7 linked regions of the Ovis aries genome follow. The protein of the gene in region 6 purifies or fractionates together with the protein of the main gene of each other region. This does not show direct contact. Links are inferred from orthologs where the notes say so. Each region holds a gene or a part of one and is shown on either strand. Other genes may lie near its edges. The genes, in order: STRIP2, STRIP1, STRN4, STRN, STK24, SIKE1 and PPP2R1A.

Region 1 (3,500 bases), on a different chromosome or scaffold from region 6:
TCTAGCAAAGTTGAATTCATACATATTATGACCCAACAACTCTGGTACACTTTAAAAGAAACTCTTAAGCCCAAGAAAACACTTAAAAGATGTTTATTGTCATCATTGGGAACAACTGAAAAAAACTTAGGGGACTAGGTAAACTGTAGTATATCAATATATTAGCTACTGTATAGTCATTAAAATAATTGATCTGTATTAGTATGCTTCAGTGTCAATAAATATTAGAAATATGTTGAGGGGTAGAAGAAACAGTGACAAAATAATTTATACATGCATCCAGAAAACTGCTTAAATACCTAATGCTGATTCATGTTGATATATGGCAAAAACCATCACAATATTATAAAGTAATTATCCTCTAACTTAAAGCATTGTTATGAGAGTAAACAACTAGAAACAAGGGGGAAAAAACTGCTTAAACACACAAGTCTAAAGATGTTTCTAGATGTCTGCTTGCACACTTGATTGAGAACCGTGTCAGTTAAATGAATGGATCTGTTCATCACACTGCTTTTCATGTAAAATCTTGAAAAACTTAATAAAAAATGCTCCTAAGGAAAAATAAAAACACTCCTAAGTAAAAATAATTCATACAATATGATACCATTTGGATAAAAGCTTTAAAAAAAGAATAATATCATGTGTGGTTGACAGGCATGTACACATATACTAAAAGTATAAAAATAGGCATGTGAAGCATACACACCAGTTTCATCATAGTGGTTATCTCTAGAGAGGGAAATAAGACCAGGGAGGAAGAAGGGGCTTTAGATGTCTGAAACAGATATGACAAGTTTTAACACTTGTTTAATCTGAAGAGATAAACACAGTGTCTTTTATGCATTCTATATTTACCTGTAGAGTATCAAAGTTCATGATCTAAAATTTAAAAATAAGACAAAAGCAAAGGTCAGCACCTAAGAGCCTTTCTCCCTTTTTTGAGTTGGTTTGTGCCCTACTCTTAAAAAATATAAATCTACACTACTCACTAATGACTGAAGAATTTCACAATCAGAGCTGAGATTTGCTTCTGGTCACTCTAGGACTCTGGAACTCAGAATGCAAAAGCCCTGGCTCCCAGACAAGGTATTTCTTGACCAGTAAGACAGCCGGCTGGAACATAAGTGAATGTCTCTTGCTTTGTGAATTATCTGTGACCTAGTTAAATTTCCAGCCAGGATCTTAGGGAACAGTTTTGAGGAAGCATCTCTTGACCTACTGACTACTTCTTCATCCCCTGTAAGACAAGAGTACTGATGAAGTATTCTGATGTGAGCATGTATAGGTGTGAAAGAGTGTTTTTTTTTCTCAAAAGCTCTCTGTATTTTGTATTGAGAGGCTATTGCCAGCAAAGATTTTCACTAGATTTTCCTGGGCACAGGCGGCCCTTTGACAATCAAAGCTGCTTGTACATGGTTTGATGCTGTTTCTGCCCAGGTGGCCGTGGGCGGGAATGTAAACTTCTATACCTTTCGAGGAAGCTCCACAGGGAGAGAATGAACTGGCTCCAACCCCAAAGAGCCCTCTAATATTTACATCCTCTCCAGCCCTCACCCTGGCTCCTTGAATGGCACAAGGATCTGGCATCTAAATTTCAGGAGTTGTATTGTCCGCTTTTTCCCTAGAGACAAGATAGTTCCAGTCTAGCTTGACAAGCAGAAAAGGATGCAGCCCTAAGAAACAGGAATGATGACATTAAACCTTCTCTGTCCCAGCCCTCCTCCTGGCCCTCAACAAATGTCGAAGGCTGCCTTCTCTGCCGTAGCAGCCAGCTGGCAGGAGGAGGACAGGTTTGATGCTTTAATCACCCAGGGACACAAGTGGCTATTTTTAACCTCCGAAAAGGAGGAAGTTGGCTCTGGATTGAATTGGACACAGGAACGTGTTGGAAGCTTTAGCTCTTTCATGCCACTGTCTCCATCCCAGGCCCCTTCTGTGAAGATCTGCTAAATGTTTATGATTCTGTCCTCTCTTTCCTGCCACAGAATTGTACAGCTACACCGAAAACCCAGAATTTACCACTAACAGGAGGTGCTTTGAAGAGGATTTCAAGACCCAAGGTGATCCCAGATCCTTATTCATTGAGATCTGCTTTTTCTGTGATATCCCAGGCTGATCTAGAAAAAGCCTAAAATAAAGTATGATCCTTCCTCCTCTTCACAGCCACGTAATTTCTCTATTCCTTCTTGCATATGGGTTTTCTGTATCAAGTAGAGAAGTCACAGAGTGGAAGTAAGAGAAGCCTGATCTGGGGCCTTTCCTGATGTCAAAGGAGTGAGGAGATGTTGCTGGACTGCTGTCCTGTTACCTAGTAACCCTGTGCCCGGCCTGGCCTTTGACCTTACTGTTCAACCCATCTCCACTCTGCCTCACTCCCGATACCATCAGGAGTAATAATTTCATGTGCCCACACTGTGACCCACTCAGACTAGTAACCCTGTGCCCAGCCTGGCCTTTGACCTTAGTGTTCAACCCATCTCCACTCTGCCTCACTCCCGATACCATCAGGAGTAACAATTTCAGTGCCCACACTGTGACCGACTCAGACCTCCATTTCCTTACTTGGTCAGTGTCAATTCAGTGTTCAGCTCAGCACATGTGTGGTGAGTATACAGTTTGTGCCAGAGATGCAGGAGGCAAGGGTAGAGGTAAATTTACAGTATCTTCAAAGAAATTATAGTTAGATAGCCGAGGGGAAATGTGTACGTCATGAAACTAGCTGAGGCCAAGAGGAAAATGAGTAGTGTCATTAGAGAAGTAAAAAGTATCATGGGCAAAGCTTCTGGCTGGAGCATTAGTGGAAAAGAGGTGATTTTGTACTGAACTTGTAACGATGTATAGGAATTGGATATGTAGGGAGACAGAGGGAAGTCCCTGAGGAAAGACAGAAAGATAGAGGGGGTGTGGAGGAAGACGAGGCTATAGAGTGGGTTCAGGCAAGAACATTTGGTTGCTTACTTTTCCCATTCCTTATTCTTTGTCAGCTCAGTAAAGCTTTTGAAGAGAAGAATTTGTTGGTGGGGGCTGGCATCAGAGGTGCATACATTCTCAGAAGCCTTTCCAAGAAGGGGAGGCAACAGCTGACACTGCATCTCTATGTCCTCCTGTCCCCAGTGCAGGGTGAGGAGTGGCTGGAGTTGGAGGAAGATGCCCAGAAGGCCTATGTGATGGGACTCCTAGACCGGCTGGAGGTGGTCAGTAGGGAACGGAGACTGAAGGTGGCCCGAGCTGTTCTCTACCTGGCCCAAGGTGAGCAGCCACCTTTGCCAACTTGAGAGGGGTGGAGACTGGGGAGAGAGATGGTGTTATCAGGGCTAGGATGACGCAAGTCATGCTGGGAAAGCCAGGTCCCTGCCTTTCAAGGACAATCGTGTCGTGTACTAGGAGTAGCCTTGTACTTACGTGAAGGGGAGATAGTGGTAGATCCTGCTCTGGATCCCTCGGAATCAACCTTTATCTTTCCAGGAGTGCCAGGATTTCTTACAGGGTTCTTTTTT
Region 2 (4,205 bases), about 4.8 Mb from region 6:
GTTGCATCACAATGACTTTCCAAGAACTGAGCAGCCAAAATGTAGTTCTGGAGAAACAAGGATAACTAAAATGCTTTTAAGGATTTCACAACACAGTATCAGGTAATTACTACGCATCACCTCTAAGATGTCAAATGGGCATCTTAAACACGACATGTCCAAAACAGACATCTTGATCTTCCTCCAAACCTATTTTCCTCTGACTTCTCTATTTTAATAAGCAATACAACCACCCACCCAGCTGCTCAAGCCAAAAATTTAGGACTCATCCTTTATTCCTTCCTATCCTGCTGATAGGATTCCAGTCTTTCAGCAAATCTACCTACACAATACAGAAATACCACATCAACCCAATGTTCCAACCTGGCGTAAGACACCATCATTTCCATCTATATAGTCTCTGAACCTGTCCACCCTCACCTACTCTTGCAACACCCCAATGCTTTCTCCAAAAGCAGCAGCAGGTCAGCACTTTCTGATGGTTTTCCATTTTACTTAAAATAAAATCCAGAGTACTTTCTATGCTTTTCTAGGCCCTATATTTATCTGGCCCCTGCATTTACACGGCCCTCATCTCCTACTGTTCTTCTCCTGGCTCACTCAGTTCCTGCCAAGCCACCTAGGAGGCTCTGCAGTTAGCTGGTCCCTCTATGTTACCTCCATGGATATTGGCATGGCTCTCCCTCACTTCTTTCAGAACTCATTCAAAATCACTCTCAGCCCCTCCTTCCCTAAGCAGCCTACCTAACATAGCCCAGCTGTACCTCGATCACTGTCACCTTCCAATGCCTTACAGTTTCTTTCGTTTCTTCTCAGCACTTATTTGTGAGCGCATTGTCTGGCTCACCCACAGGCTCTATGTTACAGATCATTTCACTTTTTTCATTAGTGTAGGAACTTGATTTTGTTCCCCATTCTCTTGCACTGCCTTTAGTCTAAGAGACATTCATTAAATGTTTGTTGAATGAATGATTAAAAGAATGTCGTAACTGTAATTGTTTCATTGATTTACTCATTCCTTTCCCACGTCTCCCCCACGTGAACGTAATCTCCATGAAGGCTGGGATCGTGTCCATTTTGTTCTCTACAATATCCCGCAAGCTTTGGACAGATCTGTGAAAGTAACAAGAGCAAAGCGATGTTAAAGGAAAGAGGGGGGTTCCACTAAACTGGCTGAGGGGCTAAGGGAGGTTTTGCAGATAAAACTGCGATCTCTAAACTGGAACCGAAACACAAACTAGAAGGGTAAGATTTCACAAACAGAGAAAATCTCGCGAGGTGTTGGACAGTCAAGATGGCGCTGGCATGTGCCGCCACACTTAATATGGCGACCAGGGCGCGTTCCGGGACGAAATCACGCGAGAGTTGCATCACAGCCATAGTCAGTGAATTGAGCCGGGGGTGTGGAGCCGCCAAGATGGAGCCGGTAGCCGGCACTCCCGGCCCGCTGATCATGAACAACAAGCAGCCTCAGCCGCCGCCACCTCCGCCGCCTGCAACCGCGCAGCCTCCACCTGGGGCACCGCGGACCGCCGGAGGTCTCCTGCCTGGTGGCAAAGCCCGAGAGTTCAACCGCAACCAGCGAAAAGACTCGGAGGTCAGGAGCTTCGGGGGGCGAGGCTAGCACCAGGCGGGCGGCGGCGGTGGACCCCGGCCCCATTTCTGGGCCACTTTCGGGTCCAGGCTGGGTTTCCTGGAGGGTTCGGCAGGGGAGTTGTCATTTACAGCGAAAGGAGCAGGAAGCAAGGCTGACATCCCCGGGAGTCGGAGGCGTGAAGCTGGGGTCCCCGACCCGAGCTCTGCCGACCGGGAGAACCTCCCGGAGCCCGTATTGGCTTTTCTGAGGTCCGGGCTGTGGGCGCGGTCTCCGGGCTCCAGCCCCTGGGAAGTCCGCCCCGTGCCCCATTTCTCGGGTGAAGAGTCAGTGACCTGCGTGCGCTCTAGAGGGCGGGGCGGCTACACCCCAGACCCCCTAATCATCTCCAGCTTCTGGTCCTGTGAGTTCCGCGGCGCACGGTGGCGGGCATGTGTGGGCTGGGAAAGGACTGGCGAGGGTTGGGAAGGCACCTCCGAGAAGGACTGAGCTAATTAATTAGCACTAATAGTATCAATACTACGCGCCTGTAGGTCGCGATGGTTGGAAAGGGGAGCAGTCTTGTTCTGCTCTGAGCTTAGCCACTGCAGATTCAGGCCACGGTTAGACAGTGCCCGGTGGTTGGTGTGCCCAGTCCACCCGATGCTCAACTGTTAAAGATCAGAAATAAATTAAACAGGCGTTGAGGCTCAACATCTCTCTTCTCTTGTTTAGTGGGCTGTTCCTCCCATTCCGGAGACACCGTAGTCTGGAGCTGACTAGTCACCTCACCCCGAGTTGAAGAATTACTCCCACTGCATTCCATTGTAGAATTCATGAATGAAGACACACACGTAGCAGCGTTTTAGGGCTTCTTAATCAGCATGTTCCCAGAGCACTTACTAGGAAATTTCTTTCACCTGAGACAACCCTGAGGCTGATTAACAGTCAGATGCTTATTAATGAGAGGGCATTTTTTCTTGTCCAGATATAATGTATCAGGTCATACCTGAGTGATGATGCTATCTTTAGACACCTGAAATCAGTACCTCTCAAGCTCTTGGTTTTGTTGGCAAGAACAAACCTCTGGTCAAACATCAAAATTTGACAAGTTCCAGTCAGATGCACTTTGAGCTTGAAGTGAATTATTTGAAAAAGCAATGAAACCGACCTTTTAGTAGCCCTTGCATGATGGGCTGATTGCACATCAGTGGTGACTGCTTAATAATTTTTCAAGTATGGAGGATTTTAAAAGTGGTAGGGATGAATCCAGTTTCATCATCAGAGGCATCGTAGTTGTTCAGTAGTTAACAATTTTCCTAAGTGTTTCTATTAAATGTACTTTCTACCCTTTAATTTCTATATAGATTCAACACATGGAAGGTCATTCAGTGAACACATTTAAGCTGAGAGACCTGTCAGAATCTATTTTCTTAGAAATACTGATACAGCTCTCTTTTGAGTCAAAGCTGAAATCAGTAGGCTGGGAGCCAGAGGCGTGCCTGCAGAACAGGGAGGCAGGTATTTGACGAGAGCCCACTGTGCGGCATCGTTTTAATTAGTCCTTAAAAAACCTTCAAGATAGATTTTTGTCATCCTCATTACATAAATGAAGAAACTGAAGCTCAGGAACTTATGAAACTGTGCAGCCTGTTGCCTCTGAATAAGAAGTAGAGTTATTTATGTTACTCATGTTTGAGGGTATGTTATGTCATTTTGTGGGTGGTCATTGTCTTCCCAAGTAGATAGTAATTAAGCTGAGGACTACCTTTTTCTTCACCTCTGTTCTTTTCCCAGAACAAGGCTTCCCAGATGGTGTGTTCTCAGTACTCACTTATTTCCAGCAGTAAAAAGATTCTTTGCCATAATCTCTCCTATGTGTGGGAGGGAAACCATTTCTGTTCAGCTGCTGCCTTCTCTGTCAGTTCTTGCTGAAATTTGAGAGAAAGGCAGGAAGACTGAGGGTGTCAATACTTATTTTGTACTGAGCTGTTGATAGCCCACTTGCTAAGTCACTTCAGTCGTGTCCGACTCTGTGTGACCCCATAGACGGAAGCCCAGGCTCCCCCGTCCCTGGGATTCTCCAGGCAAGAACACTGGAGTGGGTTGCCATTTCCTTCTCCAATGCATGAAAGTGAAAAGTGAAAGTGAAGTCGCTCAGTCGTGTCTGACCTCAGCGATCCCATGGACTGCAGCCTTCCAGGCTCCTCTGTCCATGGGATTTTCTAGGCAGGAGTACTAGAGTGGGGTGCCATGGCCTTCTCCCTGATAGCCCACTAGCCAGAAAGAAACGAGGCTTCTAAAGCCTTAGTACCATGTGGAATGATCATTTCATTGCATGGAACACATGGAAGCTTTAGTGTTCATTTATCCAACAAGTTGTTATTTGAGTATATGCTCTTCATTCAGTCACCCATGCCAAGTACTGTGCTGAGCATTGTGAAATCATGGGTGAGAAGAATGGACACTAAACAGACGCACAGGCGCATGTATAATTATGAGTTATGATAAGTGCCATGAAGGAGTAGTGCAAGGGGCTCTGAGAGGGCTTGGTAGGGAGAGCCGAACTAACCCAGAAGACAAAACATTGTGAGAAAACGTCAGAACAGTGAAGGCAGCGATGTGCTGTAAC
Region 3 (3,500 bases), on a different chromosome or scaffold from region 6:
AGGACCCAGGTGATTGAGCACGTGACCGAGGGTCAGATGAACGAGGCAGCGAGGGGGCGGTGGGTGAGCGGTGCACAGAGCAGCTCACTGGGCTGGAGCTTTGGGCAAAGCCAGGTGAAGGCGTGGTGGGCCCTGGCAGCACCCCACGGTCTCCGCCTGCATCTGCGTGGAGGAGCGGAGCCGGCAGGGCTGGGGAGGTGGAGACGCTGGCTGGGCCGGGCTACAGGGTTTACTGTTAAGTGGAGAAGTGAGCAGACCGTCCCCTTGGTTCAGTGTCCGTGTCCCTGCCCTCTGACACCTCTTTTGATAATGCTTTTGATCACATTTGGCTCCATGCCGCAGCATGTCGGGGCAGAGTTTGGGGATCTGTGTCTCCTCTCAGGATCGTCTCACCCTGTCAAAGATCAGGGGTCAGCCCCAGGCAGTGTCTGCTGTTCACCAGGCAGGCTGTCACACATTGGGTGTCAGCAGGGCCCAGCCAGAGCACCCCACATGGACCCAAGTGACCAGGGAGGTCATGGTGGGAATGACCTCAGAGCTTTGGAGGAGAGAATGGGCAAGAAAAGACTGCGGGGACAGAGGGTGGGGCTGACTCCAGGGGCCAGGCTGCAGAAGTCTTGGCCCTTATCCCCTTAACTGAGTCCTAAAAGTTATGTTCCGTGCAGGGCTTTGTGGTAGGCGCTGTCACGGGCCTGGGGGAATGGCAGGGAGCCAGATCATCCCTACCTCTGGAGTTTCCACTTTGGGGGCATTGAAAGCCTGAAACCTTCACAGAACAGCCGGCCCATGGTCGGAGCCTGAGCAGCTCTGAGGGCACAAGGATGGGGCGGGGGGAGGGTGACTCGGCAGAGTGGGGCTGCTGGGCTGTCCGAGCTGGAGCTGGACAGAGGCCCTGACGCAGCCCTCTCCCCACTCTGGCGGGTCCAGACCCAAGCGTGTTGAGCCACGTCCTGGAGGGCCACGGGGACGCGGTGTGGGGCCTGGCCTTCAGCCCTGCCTCCCAGCGCCTGGCCTCCTGCTCTGCCGACGGCTCTGTCCGCATCTGGGACCCCAGCAGCAGCAGCCCGACCTGCCTCTGCACCTTCTCCACAGCCAGCGGTGAGGGGCGGGGCGGGGGGCTGTGACACCCTGGGGGTGGAGGCCCCAGGGGAGGTCGACTTCTGACTGGGGCCCAGGCTTCCCGCCACAGGGCAGGAGCAGGGCTGTTGGCAGCCTTCTGTCTCCTCTGCCTTCAGATCACGGGACCCCCACCTCAGTGGCCTTCACCAGCACCGAGCCTGCCCACATCGTGGCCTCCTTCCGTTCTGGCGACACTGTTCTGTATGACCTCGAGGCTGGCAGTGCCCTCCTCACGCTGGACTCTCGGGGGAACAGTGGTAAGGGGGTGCCCAGGGCCAGGGGCTGAGGCCTGAATGCCTCCAGGGCCCCAGTTTCTCCTGGGGCTTTGGTGACCTGTTGCCCAGTCAGTGGACAGTGGCTGCCCTGCCCTCTGCAGGGCTCCGAGCAGGATGGAGATCAAGTCCCAGTCACTGTGCCCTTACGGACATCTCCGGAGGGCTGGGAGAGAGACATCCCAGGGGCTCCCCTGTGGACCGCTCAGTGGAGCAGAAGCACTGCCTTCACGGTTGCCATCCCTCCTGCTCGCCCAGGGGCCATGCAGCGTCCACGGCACAGATGGAGAAACCCTGGGCCCTGGAGGGAGCAGCTGGGGCGCCCAGCCCCGCTTGGCATCTCGGCAGAGGACAGGGATGGGATGGCCGTTTCTCCTCTTGTCTTTGTTCCTCCTGGTCTCCCTGATTCCGCCCCCCCTTGACTTCTGCTTTCTCTCCTGTTCAGGCCCAACCCAGATCAACCAGGTGGTGAGTCACCCCAGCCAGCCCCTCACCATCACCGCCCATGACGACAGAGGCATCCGTTTTCTGGACAACCGCACAGGTGAGGCCCGGCCTCCCCAGCCCCCGCTCACCTGTGCGGTTGGGGGGCGGGGTCAGCCCAGCTCAGAGCGGGAGATTGGTCAGTCCACCTTGGAGCCTCAGTGTCCCCGCTAGCCCCTACACCTTTCCAGGCTGAGCACAGAGTGGAAAAGTAACTTGCTGCCCACCCTGTCTCCCTGCAGGGAAATCGGTGCACTCCATGGTCGCCCACCTGGATGCGGTCACCTGCCTCGCCGTGGACCCCAATGGTGTCTTCTTGATGTCAGGAAGTAAGTCGGGGGCCTCCTGGCCCCTCAGGAGTGAGGGCACGTGCCCTTCCTAGCAGGAGCGGGAGAGGCATGCTTGGGGGCTCCCTGAGGCTGGGGCGCTGGTGGGAGTGCTGTCTGAGCAGGGCTCAGGAGCCCCTCTGTGGCAGGTTAGAGTGGTCACGGGGGTGGGGATACCGGAGCCACGGTAGGCGCGCTCCCACACGGCCCTGTTGCATTTGAATGAGGTTGGTACTGGAGCCCCCACTGTGCACATGTGGAAACTGGGCCTAGAGAAGTCACTTCACTTGGTCACAGCCCAGCGGGTTGCAGGAATTGACGTTCAGGCCTGTCTGACTCTCAGTCCCCGCAAGACAGGGGACTCTTAGCAGTGGGGCACCTGCCATTTGTGGATAAAGACACCAAGCCCCAGTGACTGCTCCTCGATGGCGTGGCTGGGACTCGGGCGGATGGAGAAGGGGCTGAAACTCCCCAGGGGGATGAAGAGGAGGCACTGGCCTGACAGGATGGCCCAGGGCGGTTCAGCTGTCTCCAGGGAGGCCGGGTTCAGGAGGCAGGTCTGGGCGGGGAGCTGGGGGAGCTGGGGGACCCGGAGCTGCTGAGCGACAGCCCCTCCTGCTCCTGCACCCGCACAGGCCACGACTGCTCGCTGCGTCTGTGGAGCCTGGACAACAAGACGTGTGTCCAGGAGATCACGGCCCACCGCAAGAAGCATGAGGAGGCCATCCACGCAGTCGCCTGCCACCCCAGCAAGGCCCTCATTGCCAGCGCAGGCGCCGACGCCCTGGCCAAGGTCTTCGTATGATGCCCACCTGGCCCTCCAGCCCAGGCCGCCACGCTGGCTGGGGGGTGGGGCCGGGCAGTGGGACTGAGGTGAGGGGATGGAGGGAGGGAGGCTGGGTTGGGAGGGCAGAAGCCCCGGGCACCCTCACTCCCGCCTGGCATTTCTGGAGGGTGCCAAATCCCGACACCCTAGCTGGGATGCCCTGCAAGAATTGCCAGGGTGGCCCCCCAGCATTCAGAGGAAGGGCCGGAACTGCCTGACCTCTGGCACCCTGGAGACTGTGGTCCAGCCTCCCCTCTCCTGTCTCCCGCAGGTGACCCCGGCCTCGGTCTGGAGGCCCCGAGGCCCAGCCGCCTCCTGCCTGCCTTGGGGCCTGGTGGTGCTATCGGCCCTCTTCCCCAGGAGGCCCTTCCCACGGCCTCCCACCGGGTGTGGCCTCCTTCAGGAATCGCCCTCCAGCATGGTCTCGGAATTTTCCCTCTACCCTGGCACCCACTCCGGGTCTCTGAGCTTCCT
Region 4 (4,036 bases), on a different chromosome or scaffold from region 6:
TTTTTCAGGTGCCTTCCTTTCATTATCATTGTAGTGTGAATTTATAGTGACATAATTTCAAGGACTTGAGAGAAAGGTAACAATTAGACACACTTGAAACGACTCTGGTGTGTCTTTCGTAGGGTAACAATAATGCCAGTTTGCAAGTGAACCATGGAAGAAACCGCGAACCGGACAAGTAAGTGAAAAGGGAGAAGTGTCTGCATACCTAAGAGAGCTCTAGGGCGTGGAAAGGGACTTTGTTCTTGCAGGTAGTTTCAGGCACCGTGAGAACTGATGTACATTTCTCTCTTTTCTCTCATTGCCAGTCTCTTTGACTGGCAGGACTTGACCATGGGAATTGTGTCATTTATCTTTATATTCCCAGTGACAGCACTAAAGAGTCAAACATTGAAATGAGTATAAACTGCTCGGAAATGAGGAAAAATTAGATCGAAATGACAGAGCCTTGGATATCCAAAACTTTTTACAGGATTTACTTCAAGATTAACTACAAAGGGAAAAGGACTTCAGCGGAGTAGGGTTTCAAATGAGGTGTCAACAAACCAGAATTTGGAAGAAGCAGGAAGTTGCTGTGTAGAGTTCTGTAGAAAGATGATCAGAGATCCTTCTCCGTGAGAACTGATCAGGAAACAGGTTTAATTGAACCCTAAGCGACAAAGAAAGGCAGGAACGACAGCCATACGGAAGTGGACAAAACTGAGGCGTGTCTAGGGTCAGAGAATTACCGAAGTCTGAGCAGAAGGGGTCTGAGAGTGGTGGCTGGAGAACCCCGGTCCTGGGGTTGGACTGGCGAAGCTTGCTTTGAGCTTGTTTTTTTATCAGAACTACCAGGAAGCTCCAAAAGATGTGCAACTCGGGCTAACATTTCAACGCGCTAACTTCCGTGAGTGTGCGTGTGTGTGCAACAGCGAGCGCCACCCAAGAACTTCCGCGTGCGAGGGAGACCAAAGCACCGCCCGCGGCTGCCCAGCCCCTTCAGTGAGGAAACCCGCGCATTCCGGCAGGGGGCGGCCCCCACCGCCGCGGGCAGGGGCGGGGCTGTAGGCGGGGCCGCGCTAGCGCCCCGTCTGAACGCAGCCCCACAGGCCGCCCGCCCCGCCCTCGTCGGCGCCCCGCCCCCCGACTACATTTCCCAGCAAGCCTCGGGCCGCCCGCGCGCCGCAGTTGACCCATTTCCCGGCCCGTCCCGGGCTCGACCGGCCCCCGCGCCCAGGCGGCTGCTCCCTGCTGACTGGGGTGTGGGCGGGGAGCGGCGGAGGGAGGAGGCGGCGCTGCTGGCTGCCGCCGTTGCCTCCGCTCCTGGGTGCCTGGGCAGCTTCCCCGGTTCCTGCGGCCGCCATGGACGAGCAAGCGGGTCCCGGCGTCTTCTTCAGCAACAACCACCCGGCAGCCGGTGGTGCCAAGGGTCTCGGGCCTCTGGCGGAGGCTGCCGCGGCCGGCGACGGGGCGGCTGCGGCGGGGGCGGCCCGAGCCCAGTACAGCCTCCCGGGGATCCTGCACTTCCTGCAGCATGAGTGGGCCCGCTTCGAGGTCGAGAGAGCCCAGTGGGAAGTGGAGCGGGCGGAGCTGCAGGTAAAGACCCTCCTGGCCTGGCCCTCTTCATCCCGCCTCTTCGCTCCCTTCCGCCCCGCCCCAGACCCTTCCCCCTCCCCTGCTTAGCCGTCGCTCGTCCCCTCCCCCTTTGCTCCTGCCCATCCCACCTCGAACCTCGTCCCCCTCCTTCCTTCGCCTTTGCCTGTCGCAGACCCCACTTCCTCGACCCGGGTTCTCTCTCTCGCTCCTGATACGTTGTTTACCTTCCTCACACCTTTTCATCTGCTCCTTTCCACTCTTAACTCTCAGGTTCATTTCAGCTCTCTTGCCATTCCACATCTGAGGTGTTCCCTTCAGTTTACTAATTGGGCTTACAGTAGTTTTGCGAGATAAGCAATCATCCCTTGTCCTGGGGAGTCCCATCCTGGGTCTAGAGATGGTCCCCGTAAAAGGTATTGACAGTTGGCGCCTCTCTGTAAGGAAGGTGATCAAAGAAGACAACCAGAAATTGTGTCCGTGAGGCCTTGACTTTAAGCAAGAAGCTGCTGTTGGGCCAGAGTGTTACTAGGAGTATCAGCTCGCTTTTTAAAAATGTAAATGTTTCTTCTTTTCCTTCTCCTTCGCCCCCTCCGGCGTTTCTCTTAGGTATTTCAGATTCCTGGATTTTGAATGAAGGACCTAGATGAGCACTGCCAGATGATGGTTCAGAGATGATTTCCCCTTCTCAGAATCTAAAACTTCCCACGGGTTAATTTTCTGTTCAGGGTTTTGTGAGATTGACTTATACTTTAACGGGAAACTAAAAAGAGCTTTAAAGTTGCTTACATTTCCTTGCATAATTTGCAAGATAAAGTGTATCCAGGGAGGAACTACTCTGGGCTCTTAGAAGGCTGAGAGTGAGACTGGTACTTTGCAGACAGTTCTGAATTGGTAAGTAGGTTTCAGTGGCTGTTCTTAAAACTTCCAAGGCATTCACCAATTTCACAAAGAACTTAGAAAACTCTGAGTGGCTGTGCCTTTCTGTTTACTGGCTAATCCTGTATGCTTGTGAAATCTGAGTATATTTTTGGTTGCTGAAATACTTGAAGTTAAAATACTACCCACTGTGCCACTGTTTTTGGTAGCATGTATTTTCTTTGGCACTTGAAAAGAAATGGAATCGTGTTAAATGGAATCATGTGCTGGACCAGACTGCTTTGGTGGAGTGGAAGTGGTTGTGGAAAGAGCAAGCAGAGAGGGTTATGATACAGGCTGTGTTTGCTGCCAGCTCTGTGACCTTGAGGAAATCCTTTAACAAACTCTCTGAACTTCGGTTTCATCCTATATTCAGTGTCTTTATTAGGTGGTAACACTGTGCCTGTAGGCTTGGGGGTTAACAAAACTGACAAAGCCTCTGTCCTCATAGAGCTTATGTTTTAGTTGGGAGGCAGCAAATGCAGCTATACAGTATGCTGATCCATAGTGGCAACTGCTATGGGAAAAATAGGATACAAGAGTAAGGTGTGATCATGCTCAGTCGTGTATGAGTCTTTGCGACCCCATGGACTGTAGCCCACCGGGCTCCTCTCTGTCCATGGGATTTTCCAGGCAGGAATACTAAAGTGGATTGCCATTTCCTCCTCCGGGGGATCTTCCCCACCCAGGGATCAAACCCTAGTCTCCTGAGTCTCCTGCGTTGGCAGGGAGATGCTTTATCACTTAGCCACCTGGGAAAGCCCCTTTGATGGGGCAGCTGTTTTAGATGGAGGTCAGGGAAGGCCTCTGAGAAGTTGAATGCAGTGAGGGTGTGATCTATAGTTTCTGAGATTCTGCTTATTTATACAATTACATGTTTATATTCTTTGGCAGCTTTTTCACTGGTACGGTTTTGTGACGTCAGTATCTAGTCTGTTGATATTTGTGATTTTTCTCATAATGAACCAGCAATGCATTCCATAAATGAGTTTGTGGATTTCAGACTTCAAGGAAGTATTAAAGGCAGGCTTTAACTTTAACCATTGTACAATTATGGATAATGATTTTTGTATGTAGCTGCTTAAATTTTAACTTCTTATCCAGTTTAGGGAATGTAAGATAAGTCACACTAATTTGTTCAAAAACAAACAAAACAGTTCTTACCTTTCTACCTGGGAAGTCTGAAAATTTCCAACCTATCTTAACTTCTCTCCCTCCACCCCCATATTTAACTTTTAATTTCCCTGTAGTTGTAGTTTCTCTTTAGTTGTGCCCTCTCTCCTCCTGCCCCCCAGAATATATACACACATACACACACTACTTAACTGGGTTATTTATGGCAAATGTTAAACTTCGGGTAGATTTCCTATTGGTGCTCATCATATTAAGAATACTACATGTTCACTGACTCTTGGTTTGAGCTCCAGTTAAAATTAAGCATCCATGGAGAAACTTTGAAAATGTGCCGTGACTTTTAAACAGAACAAGTATATGCTGTTGGAAGGAGAGAATTTGTAGGAATCTGTTTTTTGATTCTCTTATTAGC
Region 5 (3,500 bases), on a different chromosome or scaffold from region 6:
GTCACAAACAATTGGACACGACTGAGTAGCTGAACAACAAAAGCATATTTTTAGATAAGAGTTCTTTGTAGGGAATGGGGGGGTGGGGGTGGGGATATGAGTTTAGAAGTTTCAGCCTGACCTGTGGCTAACCCTGCTGGAAAATTCAGAAACCCAACAAGGACATACGGTGTGACATGCAACACCAAAATACACAGACAACTTTGCAAGAAATATCCTAATTCAGAGAGAAAATGAGGCTGAAGCCATGCAGTCATCTCTGCCACATGGCTCTGCCAGATTCAACTCAAAAGCAGAGACAGTCAGAAGGAAGAGGGGAAAGCAAGGCGGGACTACGTTTACATCTCATTCCTCTTTCCCTTCCTAACACATGCCAAGAAGAAACCGAAAACGTTTACTTTAAAGACTTACTTAGCCACTGTTTCTCAGGCCGGACTTTGCAGATACGCCAACAGCTAAAAATAGCCCAACCTTCCACTATAAATATTAAAAATGTATGATCCCACATAGAATATTAAGGAGAACAGTCTTCAAAGCTCAATGCGGTAGGAGATACCAGAAAATCTGAAAGACGGTAAGTAGACTTTGAAGCCTTAAAAAGATAAAATAACAATAAGCATTTCCACTTCAGAAAAAAATCAATCATACCCATTTAGAAAAAGAAATGAGATCATGAAGACAGCTGAAAGCAGAGAAGGAAAACAGACCACTAAGACGCATCCAGACCCATCAGGCCCCCATGGGGGGAGATGCCCGTTCCCAGGTCAAGACACTCACAAAGCTCGGCTCCTTGTTCAAACAGGCCTCCACGAACTCCTTGAGGGGTTTGCTGTAGTTCCCTTCCAGCGTCGGGGGGTTGTTCTTTGGGATAAGGAATAGGACCTTCATGGGATGCAGCTCGGAATGCGGCGGCTCCCCCTTGGCAAGCTCGATGGCCGTGATGCCCAGGGACCAGATGTCCGCCTGCAACAGCGAAACACAGCTAGTTAGTTACACATTCGGAGGGGAGGCGGTTCAAAGAAACGTACTTCCTAGAAGGTAAAAAACAAAACCAAAAACTAATGTGCTTCTGAGGTCTTGAATAAGATACTCATTCTTAACTGAAAAAAATTTGTTAAAGATAAAGCCTTTGGTGTAACTTCAAAAAAGGCAACACACAGGAGGACATGTAATAATATCATCTTCTGCCTCGACGTGGAAGCTGGCTCTGATGATTACACCTCTTCCCTTTGCTGCCAGAGGTGGGAGACGTTCCACGTTTGTTTAAGTCCCTGAGTCAACAGGACAGGCAACCTGAGGTCAGTGGAGACGGCATGTCTGGGGACCACAGCACGTTTGCAGCCACCACGTCCAGAGATGCTTAGAAGCCAGCCCTTAAGCCACAACAGGATGAAATGAGATCCCTGTTCCCAGGCGGCCAGGCCAGGAGCCTGGGCCCAACCCTTGGAACTTCTCTTTGGTCCTCCTATATCAACCAGCTGCCAGGTGTGTGGCTCTTGACCTCTTGGCGCCCTGAGTCCCCATCTACCCCTCCTGCCTCCGGCTTAGTTCAGAAATGTCTTCTGTCCCTAGGGCTCCATGAGGGGCTCCAGAGTGGTCTTCCTGACTGCAGGCTCCGCCTGCATATATCTAACATCCTGCTGACTAACTTGGAAACCCTGACTGGCACTTGAATAAATGGCAAGCAATCTGGCATTATGCAGTCAAAGTCACAAAAATACCCACACTTGTTAAAGCCAACTAATTTCACGTCTAGGAATCGATCCTAAATAAATTTTATATTTAGAAAATGGTAAGGGATGCCTAAAATATTCAAAAACAGCATTACTTATGCTAAAACCTTAGAAGAATGACTATATTGCTATGACACATTAACTTGACTGAAGTATCAAATATTCAACACTGATGCTGATAGAGAATCAACTGAGTTTGTCTATTACGGTATCTAGGATTTACAACATCAGATTTTAAAATGTGTCTGAATTTTAAAATAAGAATTATATGGGAGAGGGCAATCATTTTTCAAGCAACTAAAATTGAGGTATAAGAGGAGACCTGTTTTACCATCGTTTGGGAAATCAGCTGTTAAGGGAAACCAACAGTGGTTTTCAAAAATGAGACTAAGTAAAAAAAAAATCACAGCTGAACTGCAGATATTTACTTGTGAACAGATTTTCTTTCCGTATGTGGTTAGTCCTGGGGAGCATTCTCCTAAAAGTGACAACGAAGAATTATCCGTTATTGATGAGCAGTGGGGGTGAGGGGACCCAAGAGGGGCACCAACAGCAGCTCTCAAAATCCTCGCAGTAACACTTAGTTAAGCAAAAGTCACCTGGCTACACCTCTGCAGACGAAATACAACTTTTTTTTTATGTATTAAAAAAATTTATGTATAGAAAATATTCTATGAAGAACCACAGAGGGGGACTTCCAGTGGTTAATCCATGGGTCCCTTGCAGGGAGTATGGGTTCGATCCCTGGTCAGGGAACTAAGATACCACACAGTGTGCGGGGCAGCCAGAAAAAAAAAAAAAGGAAGACAGGAGAAAAAAAAAAAAATGGAGAATCCCAAATAACAGTTATAACTAGTTAAAACACAGCCCAAAATGGATTTAATAGAAACTATTCAATAAGATGCAATATTCAGAAACACATTAAGTCGCACGAGAGGTATTGAAACCGTCTGAGACCGACTCCGTAGCAATACATGGCCCCACCATTACCTCACGCTTGGACAAAGCTGGATTCTTTCTCCGCTCACATCCTTCCCCTGTGTGCAAAGTGCATCCCTCCCAGCCAGGAGGTGGGAACTCCTGGCCCTGAGGATTGAGCCGGGGAGGCCATGGGCTGCCATCGGGACGGGAGGGTTGGTCACGTACCCAGTGGACCAGCTGGCTGTACACATTCCAACAGATGGGCCGGTCCTACCGTGTCTCCACTCATCTTTATTTTTCCATCAACACATCACCTGTTTTCATCCTTCACCATGGTGACTGCAAACAGTTATTTCGGACGCGACTGGACACCAAAATAACTTAGCTTGTGCTTGGGTATTAGGCCTACAGATGTTTTCCCCTTCGCTCATTTTTTCCAGTATTTTCCAGATTAAAGACTAAGTGCTGCTTTTGAGACCAAAAAAGGGGAAAGTTGTTTACAAGGAGAACACCAGTGCTGGCCGCTCAGCTTCCACAGGGGTTGCTAGCAGGGAAGTCGATCAACATTCCAGCACAAATGTCTCTCCTCTCCTCCCAGCTTGTCTCTGAAGGGCTGAGAAGCCCGCATCTGTGCAGCCCGACACCCTCTCGGCCCCGTGAACCAGCTCACAATCAGAGCCCCTGAAGCCCAGCGCCGCACTGGCTCACTGAAGCGTCAATCACCTGGCATGGCGCTGGGCTCAGCTACAGCAAGGGCAGAAGGGAATGAGCACAGAAGGGGGCAAGGTCCCCGCCCCAGTCCAGCCCACCCACGGACATCCTTCCCCTTAGAGAAACAGGGAAAAG
Region 6 (3,970 bases):
AAGCTTTTCATATAAGCTAAATTCTGTCTTCTTCAAGGATCAGGTTTTTCTCCTTTGGACCACAGATGAAAGTTATTCACATATTTAAAAGATCCCTGTTCCCTATGACCTTAGTTAGTTAAACTAATTAAAATGCTTTCGATGGAATCTAAGATGAAACTTATCTTCCATAAATTCCACTGTAGCAAATAGTGAGGTGTCAATCTATTAATTTAGGATTAAATAATATAGTACATGCAAACATACAAAGACAACTCTAAAGCACTCTACAAACTTAAGAACAATTACTGCATCTCGCAAAATAAACCATAAGCAACGAGAGTATAGAAACTATGCCTTTTTTTTTTTTTAAACCGTACTTCTCTCTCCTAACAACATAGTATGATGCTATGTTTACTGACCCCCCTGCTATGTGACAAGTACTATGTTAGGGATAAAAGAAATTCACACTCCTTACAAGCAAGGAGCTTACAGTTTAGTGAAACATACCATAATAACAACTCAAGTATTTACTGATTACCTTTAACACTAACAGGCTTCCCTTGTGGCTCAGCTGGTAAAGAATCTGCCTGCAATCCAGGAGACCTGGGTTCAATCCCTAGATTGGGAAGATCCCCTGGAAAAGGGAAAGATTACCCACTCCAGTATTCTGGCCTAGAGAATTCCATGAACTGTATAGTCCATGGGGTCCCAAAGAATCAGACATGACTGAGTGACTTTCATTTTCACTTTAACGCTAACTGACATTGTTCAGTGGAAAAACGTAGTGTTCATTAACATCTTGAAGAGAGATCTTGGTGGAGGGATGAACTTGAGTCTTACTCAGATAAAAGGCCCTTTACCCCCTTTTTTCTACTCATATCTTTACAAAGCTATACTAAAACCTACAGCAAATGTGGTAAACATGAAAGGAAAACAAGTTTACTTCAAAAGCAAGCACATGATCTAAAACAATGTCAAGATTTCAATTCATTTAGAATTTATCCATCAAAGTTTCTTACTGCAGAGTGAGACTGGTGAGCTTTCAGGACTGGTTCAGCATCCGCTGCTTTTTTAGCAACCATTAATTGTAACATCTGTTTTCGGTATTTGCTCATGATGAGTTCCAAAGCATCCTGGTGTTCCTCCAAGGAAACCCATAGCTCTATCAAAAAACAAAATAACTTGGCAGTGATGTCTGAGATACCTCCTAAAGCCAAACTCAAACAGCTGGATTTTATGACATGCGTGAAATACTATGAACCCAAAGATGTAAATTGGTGTTTAAGTCCACAAAACTCAACAGCCATGGTCTATGCAAAAAATATCTTTCCAGGCAGCAGCAGCAAAATCTGGTAGAATCAACATGGGATGTGGCATCAGAAGACATGAGTTTAAGTTCAATTCTGTGAATTACTAGATTACTACTCTTAAATCATGTAACCTCTCTGAGCCTATTTCTTATCTGCCTTGTAATAATAAAAACCTGGCTTGTCTACTTCAAAATGAACATATGAGAATACATATATGCATTGCATGATATATGTGAAAGCCTTCTATAAATTTATATACAAATAACTATTCATACTACTATCATTAACAATATATTCACCAAGCCCAAGAATATACACCTGAGGATTAAATTAAGCTCTTCCACCTTGCATAAGAACATAAAAATCCCTTCAATCTTAGCTTTAATGTTTATTTCAATATTTAAACATTAAATCTTAAACCCTTGAGGATATTAACTCTTCCGTTATGCAACCCTCCATCTCCAGACACCTAACAAGCCATGCAATAATAATTCAACTCTACTAAGCACCTGTTGGATAAGCTGTGTTTAAATACAAAATCAGTCAGATGACCTTTAAAAGAGTAATGTAATAAACTTTACTGCTACTGGGTCATCACAGGCTATGGCAAAGTGAAAAGTGAAGTCGCTCAGTTGTGTCCGACTCTTTGCGATCCCATGGACTGTAACCTATCAGGCTCCTCTGTCCATGGGATTTTCCAGGCAAGGGTGCTAGAGTGGATTGCCCACTCCATTATTCTTGCCTGGAGAATCCCATGGATAGAGGAGCCTGGCAGGCTACAGTCCATGGGGTCGCAAGAGTCGGACACGACTTAGCGACTAAATCACCACCACAGCATGTGCACTTTTGTGACTTGCCATTTTTGCAAGAACTTTTGAAATATTACTGGATATGAGAAAATCATTACACACAAAAAGGCCTGACTAACCTCTGTTTTCCTGCTGCAAGTCTCTAATCTGTGTATTCTCTTGGGACAGCAGAATGTGAGGTTTGTATTTGGACATGTCCTTTATATCGGATGCGTCCTCTTGATACTGGACAAACAAGAGACAAACTAATCGCGCTGTAAACAGAACAGCCGCAGATGCAACTGAAGAGGTAGGAGGCAGAACTCCAGGACAGCACTGGCAGCCCCGACCCCACAGTAAAGGTCTCACAGCCACCCTCTGGGCCCAGGAAAAAACTCCAAGCCGAGTTTCCACTTTACCTCATCCTCCGCCCCTCAAGTGCCCAGAACCCGAGGGCACGGGCCCATACCCTCTGCCTGACCTGGTCCGGAAGCGCTGTCCCCGCCTCCCGCATAGCGGCTACCCGCCGGTGCAGAGCCGCTGACTGATCCACCAGTGACTCGGCGGCCGCATCGTGCTCCCTCAGCCTCTCCAGTAGAGTCTTAGCGTCTGTCAGAATCTTCTCGATGGTGCAGCTCATAGCGACCCCAGGACCGCAGTCAGAACACCGCTCACCGGTGCCAAGGACTCAGCGCGTCCCTGAGCAAGTCTCAGCGTTACAGACGTCACTTCCGGGTACGTTTAAAGGAGCCTCGGCGGTAGCTGCGATATGCGCTTGCGCAGTGGCAGCCTCCGTGGCTGGTGACCGTCTTTAACCTGTGGCTTCCTCGCATCCTCGCCCTGTGCAAGGGCCCCAGAGGACTGCCCTTGCCACGCCTTTGGTTTCCTGTTTCCACTGCCTGGTGGTCAAGTTGTGTTAAGCCTGGGCTAGTCTTGAGTTTCTCCTGTTCCTACTGGTTTTGATTGATGTGGATTATTCTTATCACCGTTAAAAATTTTTTTTCCTCTAATGTGGTAAACACGCTTTAAATTTATCATCTTAACCAATAGTATTAAGTACGTTTAAGTTGTTGTGCAGTCATTACTATCATTCATCTGCAGAATTCTTTTCATTTTGCAAAACTGAAGACTTGAGAGTCTCTTGGACTGCAAGATCAAATCAGTCAATCCTAAAGGAAATCAGCCCTGACTATTCATTGGAATGACTGATGATGAAGCTCAAGCTCAAGTGCTTTGGCCACCTGATGCTAAGAACCGATTCACTGAAAAAGACTCTGATGCTCAGAAAGGTTGAGGGTGGGAGGAGAAGGGGGTGACAGAGGATAACATGGTTGGATAGCTTCACTGATTCAATGAACATGAATTTGAGCAAACTCTGGGAGATGGTGAAGGACTGGAAAGCCTGGTGTGCTGCAGTCTGTGGGGTTGCAAAGAGTGGAAAGCTACTTAGCAACTAAACACAACAGCATTAGACTTCAACTCCTTATTCTGCCTTCCTCCCAGCCCTTGGCAACCCCTCCTCTACTTTCTGTCTCTACGAATTTAACTACATTAGATACCTCATACAAGTGGAATCATAGAAATCATAATTGTCATTTTTGTGAATGGCTTATTTCACTTGGCATAATGTCCTCAAGGTTCATCCATGCAAGCAGAAATTCCTTTCTTGTTAAGACTGACTAATATTCATATATGTGTGTGTGCATATGTACAGGCTTCCGTGGTGTCTCAGTGGTAAAGAATCTGCCTGCCATTGCAGGAGACTTCATGTTCTATTCCTGGGTCAGGAAGATCCCATGGAGGAGGAACTGGCAACCCACTCCACTGTTCTTGCCTGGAGAATCCCATAGTGGGCTACAACCCGTGGACATGACTCAACAATGACAGCTA
Region 7 (3,337 bases), on a different chromosome or scaffold from region 6:
GCGGCCACCAGCAACCTGAAGAAGCTGGTGGAGAAGTTCGGGAAGGAGTGGGCCCACGCAACTATCATCCCCAAGGTCTTGGCCATGTCTGGGGACCCCAACTACCTGCACCGCATGACCACACTCTTCTGTATCAATGTGAGCGCCCACCGGCCCCCACCTCTCCCTGGGGGAGGGGAAGTAGACGGGAGAGGAGGAATGGAGAAGGTCCTCGGGGGAAAGCTGGCTTGGGAGTAGGAAAGTGATGGGATCTGGGGCCGTAGGGGTTAGTCCTTGGGGAACTGCAGGCTGGAACTTGGGGCTCCCTGGTCAGAGTATAGGGCCTTTGCAGGTGGGGACCTGCGTGGGGGTGACTGGGGAAATTTGGCCAACAGAACAGTGATGGCCAGGTCTGTCTGAGCACCCCCTCCTTCCTCACAAAATAAGTGATATTTATGATACAACGGTTAAAGCACAGTTTCTAGAATCAGACCTACTGTTTAATTCTAGCTCTGCCACATATTGACTGTGCACCTTGAGAAAATTACTTAGTGCCTCAGTTTTCTCACCTGTAAAGGGTTCATACCAACAATCACAGCCCCAGACTCCCGAGGCTGTGACATTGATCTGGTTATACAGCTTAGAACAGTGGTTCATATGTAATGTATGGTGTGTATGTAATATGCATATGTATAGTGTGTATGTAATACATAACGTATGGGGTGTGTGTGTGTGACACGTAACGTATGCTGTGTGTATATATGGTGTGTGTGTGATATGTATGCTGTGTGTGTGTGGTATGTAATGTATGGTGTGTATGTGATGCATATGTATGCTGTGTGTGTGATATGTATGCTGTGTGTGTGATATGTATGCTGTGTGTGTGATATGTAAATGTGTGATAAATAAATACAGTAGAAAGTACTGATAGATAAATACAGTAGAAAGTACTTGTATGTAGTCACGTAAATAAACCATACACTTAAATAAACTTAAAACCACTTAAACCACATAACTACAAATTAAAGAATGAGATTTAAAAGTTAGCATAAAATTGTTCCGGTAATCCCTTCCTGTGCATCACTCTGGAGACCACAGCACTAAGGAAGGGATCCCAGGGTCAGGAATCCAGTCCCATCCCCAGAGGATGAGGGAGACTCTGAGGAAGGGAGCTGGGGTGGGACAGTGTGGGCTGGGGGTTTTCAGGGCAGGGAGATGGTGGAGTGAAGAGGGTGTTAGGGAACCTGGGAACTTGTGGAGAATCAAGGCCCTCAGGCTGGGCGAGTCTGAGCTCAGAGTCCCCCTGATGCTCAGCTAGTTTTATCCCCAAGCCCGATGGCCACTAAGTGTCCCGGTCAGAGGGAGCGAGGACTCTGGGGAGTCACCCTCTGCTGCTCCCTGGCCTGCAGGTGCTGTCCGAGGTCTGCGGGCAGGACATCACCACCAAGCACATGTTGCCCACCGTGCTGCGCATGGCCGGGGACCCTGTCGCCAATGTCCGCTTCAACGTGGCCAAGTCCCTGCAGAAGATCGGGCCCATCCTGGACAACAGGTGAGGCCTGCCCCTCCTCCACACACGATTGCATTTGTATCAACTTCAAAAATGGATCAAGGGGGACGCAGGCGATGGAAGTGAGAATGGTGGTTATTTTGGGGGAAGGGCCTTGGGACGCCTGCACCTGTCTGTCCAGGACACAGCTTCACCCCTTAGCTTCTCTCTGAAGACCGCCTTCGTCCCCCAAACAGCTGACTGCCGCTGCAGAAGCATTTCCCTCGGCCCTTACCTCCCTGGGCCCCTGTAGGGCCGAGTCCCTCCCTCAGGTGCTCGCCTCTCCTGTTACTTGTCAGCAATTTGATCTGCCTTCTCCCAGTCTGGGCTCCGTGTGGGTGAGAGTCAGGAGGGTTGGGTTTTCCACTGTGTCCACACCTGATGGGCAGTAGGCCTCGGTATATAATGTTACACAAATACAAGGCGTCACGTGGCCGAGGCTCAGAGACTTGAGGGTTCTGGGTTTTCTGCCCCACCTTTCCACACCACCTCACCTCCCTATACCTATTCTGGGCCCCCGAGGCCTCTGTCCTGGTTTGTGAGACTTTCAGCCTTCCAAGTACTGGTTGCTCTGGCCCTGAGAGCTCTCGTGCACCTGTGTGTCTGCGTCTGTGCAGACACCCAGCAGCCCCACCTTTCTGACCCCTCGCCTTTCCCCTCTCTTCCCAGCACGCTGCAGAGTGAGGTCAAGCCCGTCCTCGAGAAGCTGACCCAGGACCAGGACGTGGACGTCAAGTACTTTGCCCAGGAGGCTCTGACTGGTGAGGCGTCAGGAATCCGAGACGCTGGCAGGAGCGGGTGGGGGTCTGCGAGGGCGATGCTTGGCCTGGGAGCGGCTGTGGGCAGCGGGCTGGCTGCCTTCTGACTCCCGTCTCTTCCTGTTCCCCCAGTTCTGTCTCTTGCCTGATGCTGGAAGAGGAGCCACCGCCAGCCTCCGGTGTCCGCCCTCCCCCTCCAGGCTCCTCCCTGGGGGGACAGTGGGGGCCTTTGGCTGTCACTCCCTGTGCATGGTCTGACCCCAGGTCCCTTCCCCGGCACGGTTCCTCCCTCAGCCTGGGACATCCACCCCCCCACGGGGCTGGGGGCGCACAAGGTGGGACAGAGCAGAGACCCTGGGAGGAAGGGGCCACTCCCGCCCTTTGGGGTGAGGCGGGAGCATCCCAGGTCGCCGGCTCCTGCTGCTGTATGGGGACCCCTCCCCCATCTCCACCTCCCTCCCTTCCTCTCGGTGGGTTTTTTGTGTCAATTGTGCTGTTTTTATTTTATTCCCTTGCCCCCCTTTTCACAGAGAAATAAAGGTCTAGAAATAGCTGGTCCTCTGGTCTTAGTCACTAGATGGAGAAGGGGGCACCACCTCAGGGCCCCAGCCTTGCGCTTCTGTCTGGCGAGGACTGACTGGACTTGCCGCATCCCTGTCCTTGCGAGTGAGGAGGATTCCCTGGGAAGCCGATGGGAGTGCCCCTGGCCCCAGGGGCCAGCGGAGTCCTGAGGTGCACTTAGGTTTCACAGAGGCTGGCTGAGTGTGTGGTGGTTAGAGCAGGTGCCTTGGTGCCAGACTGCCTGCGTCCAGATCCTTGTCCTTCCATTAATAGCTGTGTGGCCTTGAGTAGGTGCCCAGTCTCAGATTGCAGGACTGTAAAATGGGGTAACAGACTCTAGATTGAGCGGGGCAGGAATGAAGACTAAACGAGGTAATACACACAGCGTGGGCAGTGATTGACGCGTGAGAAGAGTGGGCCAGGAGCTCTCAGGATCATCAGGGCCGCGGCAGAGCAGGCTGGGGACTGTGGCTAGACAGAACCACTGGTT

The links.
Region 1: the proteins of SIKE1 (region 6) and STRIP2 purify together in Homo sapiens (affinity purification with mass spectrometry; 3 studies listed by BioGRID and IntAct, with this or other methods). This does not show direct contact. The link is inferred for Ovis aries from reciprocal best matches to the Homo sapiens genes SIKE1 and STRIP2.
Region 2: the proteins of SIKE1 (region 6) and STRIP1 purify together in Homo sapiens (affinity purification with mass spectrometry; 3 studies listed by BioGRID and IntAct, with this or other methods). This does not show direct contact. The link is inferred for Ovis aries from reciprocal best matches to the Homo sapiens genes SIKE1 and STRIP1.
Region 3: the proteins of SIKE1 (region 6) and STRN4 purify together in Homo sapiens (affinity purification with mass spectrometry; 3 studies listed by BioGRID and IntAct, with this or other methods). This does not show direct contact. The link is inferred for Ovis aries from reciprocal best matches to the Homo sapiens genes SIKE1 and STRN4.
Region 4: the proteins of SIKE1 (region 6) and STRN purify together in Homo sapiens (affinity purification with mass spectrometry; 4 studies listed by BioGRID and IntAct, with this or other methods). This does not show direct contact. The link is inferred for Ovis aries from reciprocal best matches to the Homo sapiens genes SIKE1 and STRN.
Region 5: the proteins of SIKE1 (region 6) and STK24 purify together in Homo sapiens (affinity purification with mass spectrometry; 4 studies listed by BioGRID and IntAct, with this or other methods). This does not show direct contact. The link is inferred for Ovis aries from reciprocal best matches to the Homo sapiens genes SIKE1 and STK24.
Region 7: the proteins of SIKE1 (region 6) and PPP2R1A purify together in Homo sapiens (affinity purification with mass spectrometry; 6 studies listed by BioGRID and IntAct, with this or other methods). This does not show direct contact. The link is inferred for Ovis aries from reciprocal best matches to the Homo sapiens genes SIKE1 and PPP2R1A.

The regions. Positions count from the first base shown.
Region 1 is NC_056057.1:95,037,012-95,040,511, forward strand, and holds part of STRIP2 (striatin-interacting protein 2), read left to right. Parts: intron 1-1,988; coding exon 1,989-2,063; intron 2,064-3,117; coding exon 3,118-3,252; intron 3,253-3,500. UniProt on the Homo sapiens protein: Plays a role in the regulation of cell morphology and cytoskeletal organization. Required in the control of cell shape. Calmodulin-binding scaffolding protein which is the center of the striatin-interacting phosphatase and kinase (STRIPAK) complexes.
Region 2 is NC_056054.1:87,345,493-87,349,697, forward strand, and holds the start of STRIP1 (striatin-interacting protein 1), read left to right. Parts: upstream 1-1,405; 5' UTR 1,406-1,417; coding exon 1,418-1,597; intron 1,598-4,205. UniProt on the Homo sapiens protein: Plays a role in the regulation of cell morphology and cytoskeletal organization. Required in the cortical actin filament dynamics and cell shape. Part of the striatin-interacting phosphatase and kinase (STRIPAK) complexes.
Region 3 is NC_056067.1:53,600,438-53,603,937, reverse strand, and holds part of STRN4 (striatin-4), read left to right. Parts: intron 1-927; coding exon 928-1,098; intron 1,099-1,235; coding exon 1,236-1,376; intron 1,377-1,836; coding exon 1,837-1,935; intron 1,936-2,116; coding exon 2,117-2,203; intron 2,204-2,835; coding exon 2,836-3,005; 3' UTR 3,006-3,073; intron 3,074-3,297; 3' UTR 3,298-3,500. UniProt on the Homo sapiens protein: Calmodulin-binding scaffolding protein which is the center of the striatin-interacting phosphatase and kinase (STRIPAK) complexes.
Region 4 is NC_056056.1:87,081,726-87,085,761, forward strand, and holds the start of STRN (striatin), read left to right. Parts: upstream 1-1,236; 5' UTR 1,237-1,341; coding exon 1,342-1,575; intron 1,576-4,036. UniProt on the Homo sapiens protein: Calmodulin-binding scaffolding protein which is the center of the striatin-interacting phosphatase and kinase (STRIPAK) complexes.
Region 5 is NC_056063.1:74,810,233-74,813,732, forward strand, and holds part of STK24 (serine/threonine-protein kinase 24), read right to left. Parts: intron 964-3,500; coding exon 778-963; intron 1-777. UniProt on the Homo sapiens protein: Serine/threonine-protein kinase that acts on both serine and threonine residues and promotes apoptosis in response to stress stimuli and caspase activation.
Region 6 is NC_056054.1:92,154,047-92,158,016, forward strand, and holds the start of SIKE1 (suppressor of IKBKE 1), read right to left. Parts: upstream 2,801-3,970; 5' UTR 2,721-2,800; coding exon 2,562-2,720; intron 2,327-2,561; coding exon 2,221-2,326; intron 1,145-2,220; coding exon 1,002-1,144; intron 1-1,001.
Region 7 is NC_056067.1:58,174,942-58,178,278, forward strand, and holds the end of PPP2R1A (serine/threonine-protein phosphatase 2A 65 kDa regulatory subunit A alpha isoform), read left to right. Parts: coding exon 1-138; intron 139-1,388; coding exon 1,389-1,531; intron 1,532-2,197; coding exon 2,198-2,289; intron 2,290-2,418; coding exon 2,419-2,435; 3' UTR 2,436-2,837; downstream 2,838-3,337. UniProt on the Homo sapiens protein: The PR65 subunit of protein phosphatase 2A serves as a scaffolding molecule to coordinate the assembly of the catalytic subunit and a variable regulatory B subunit.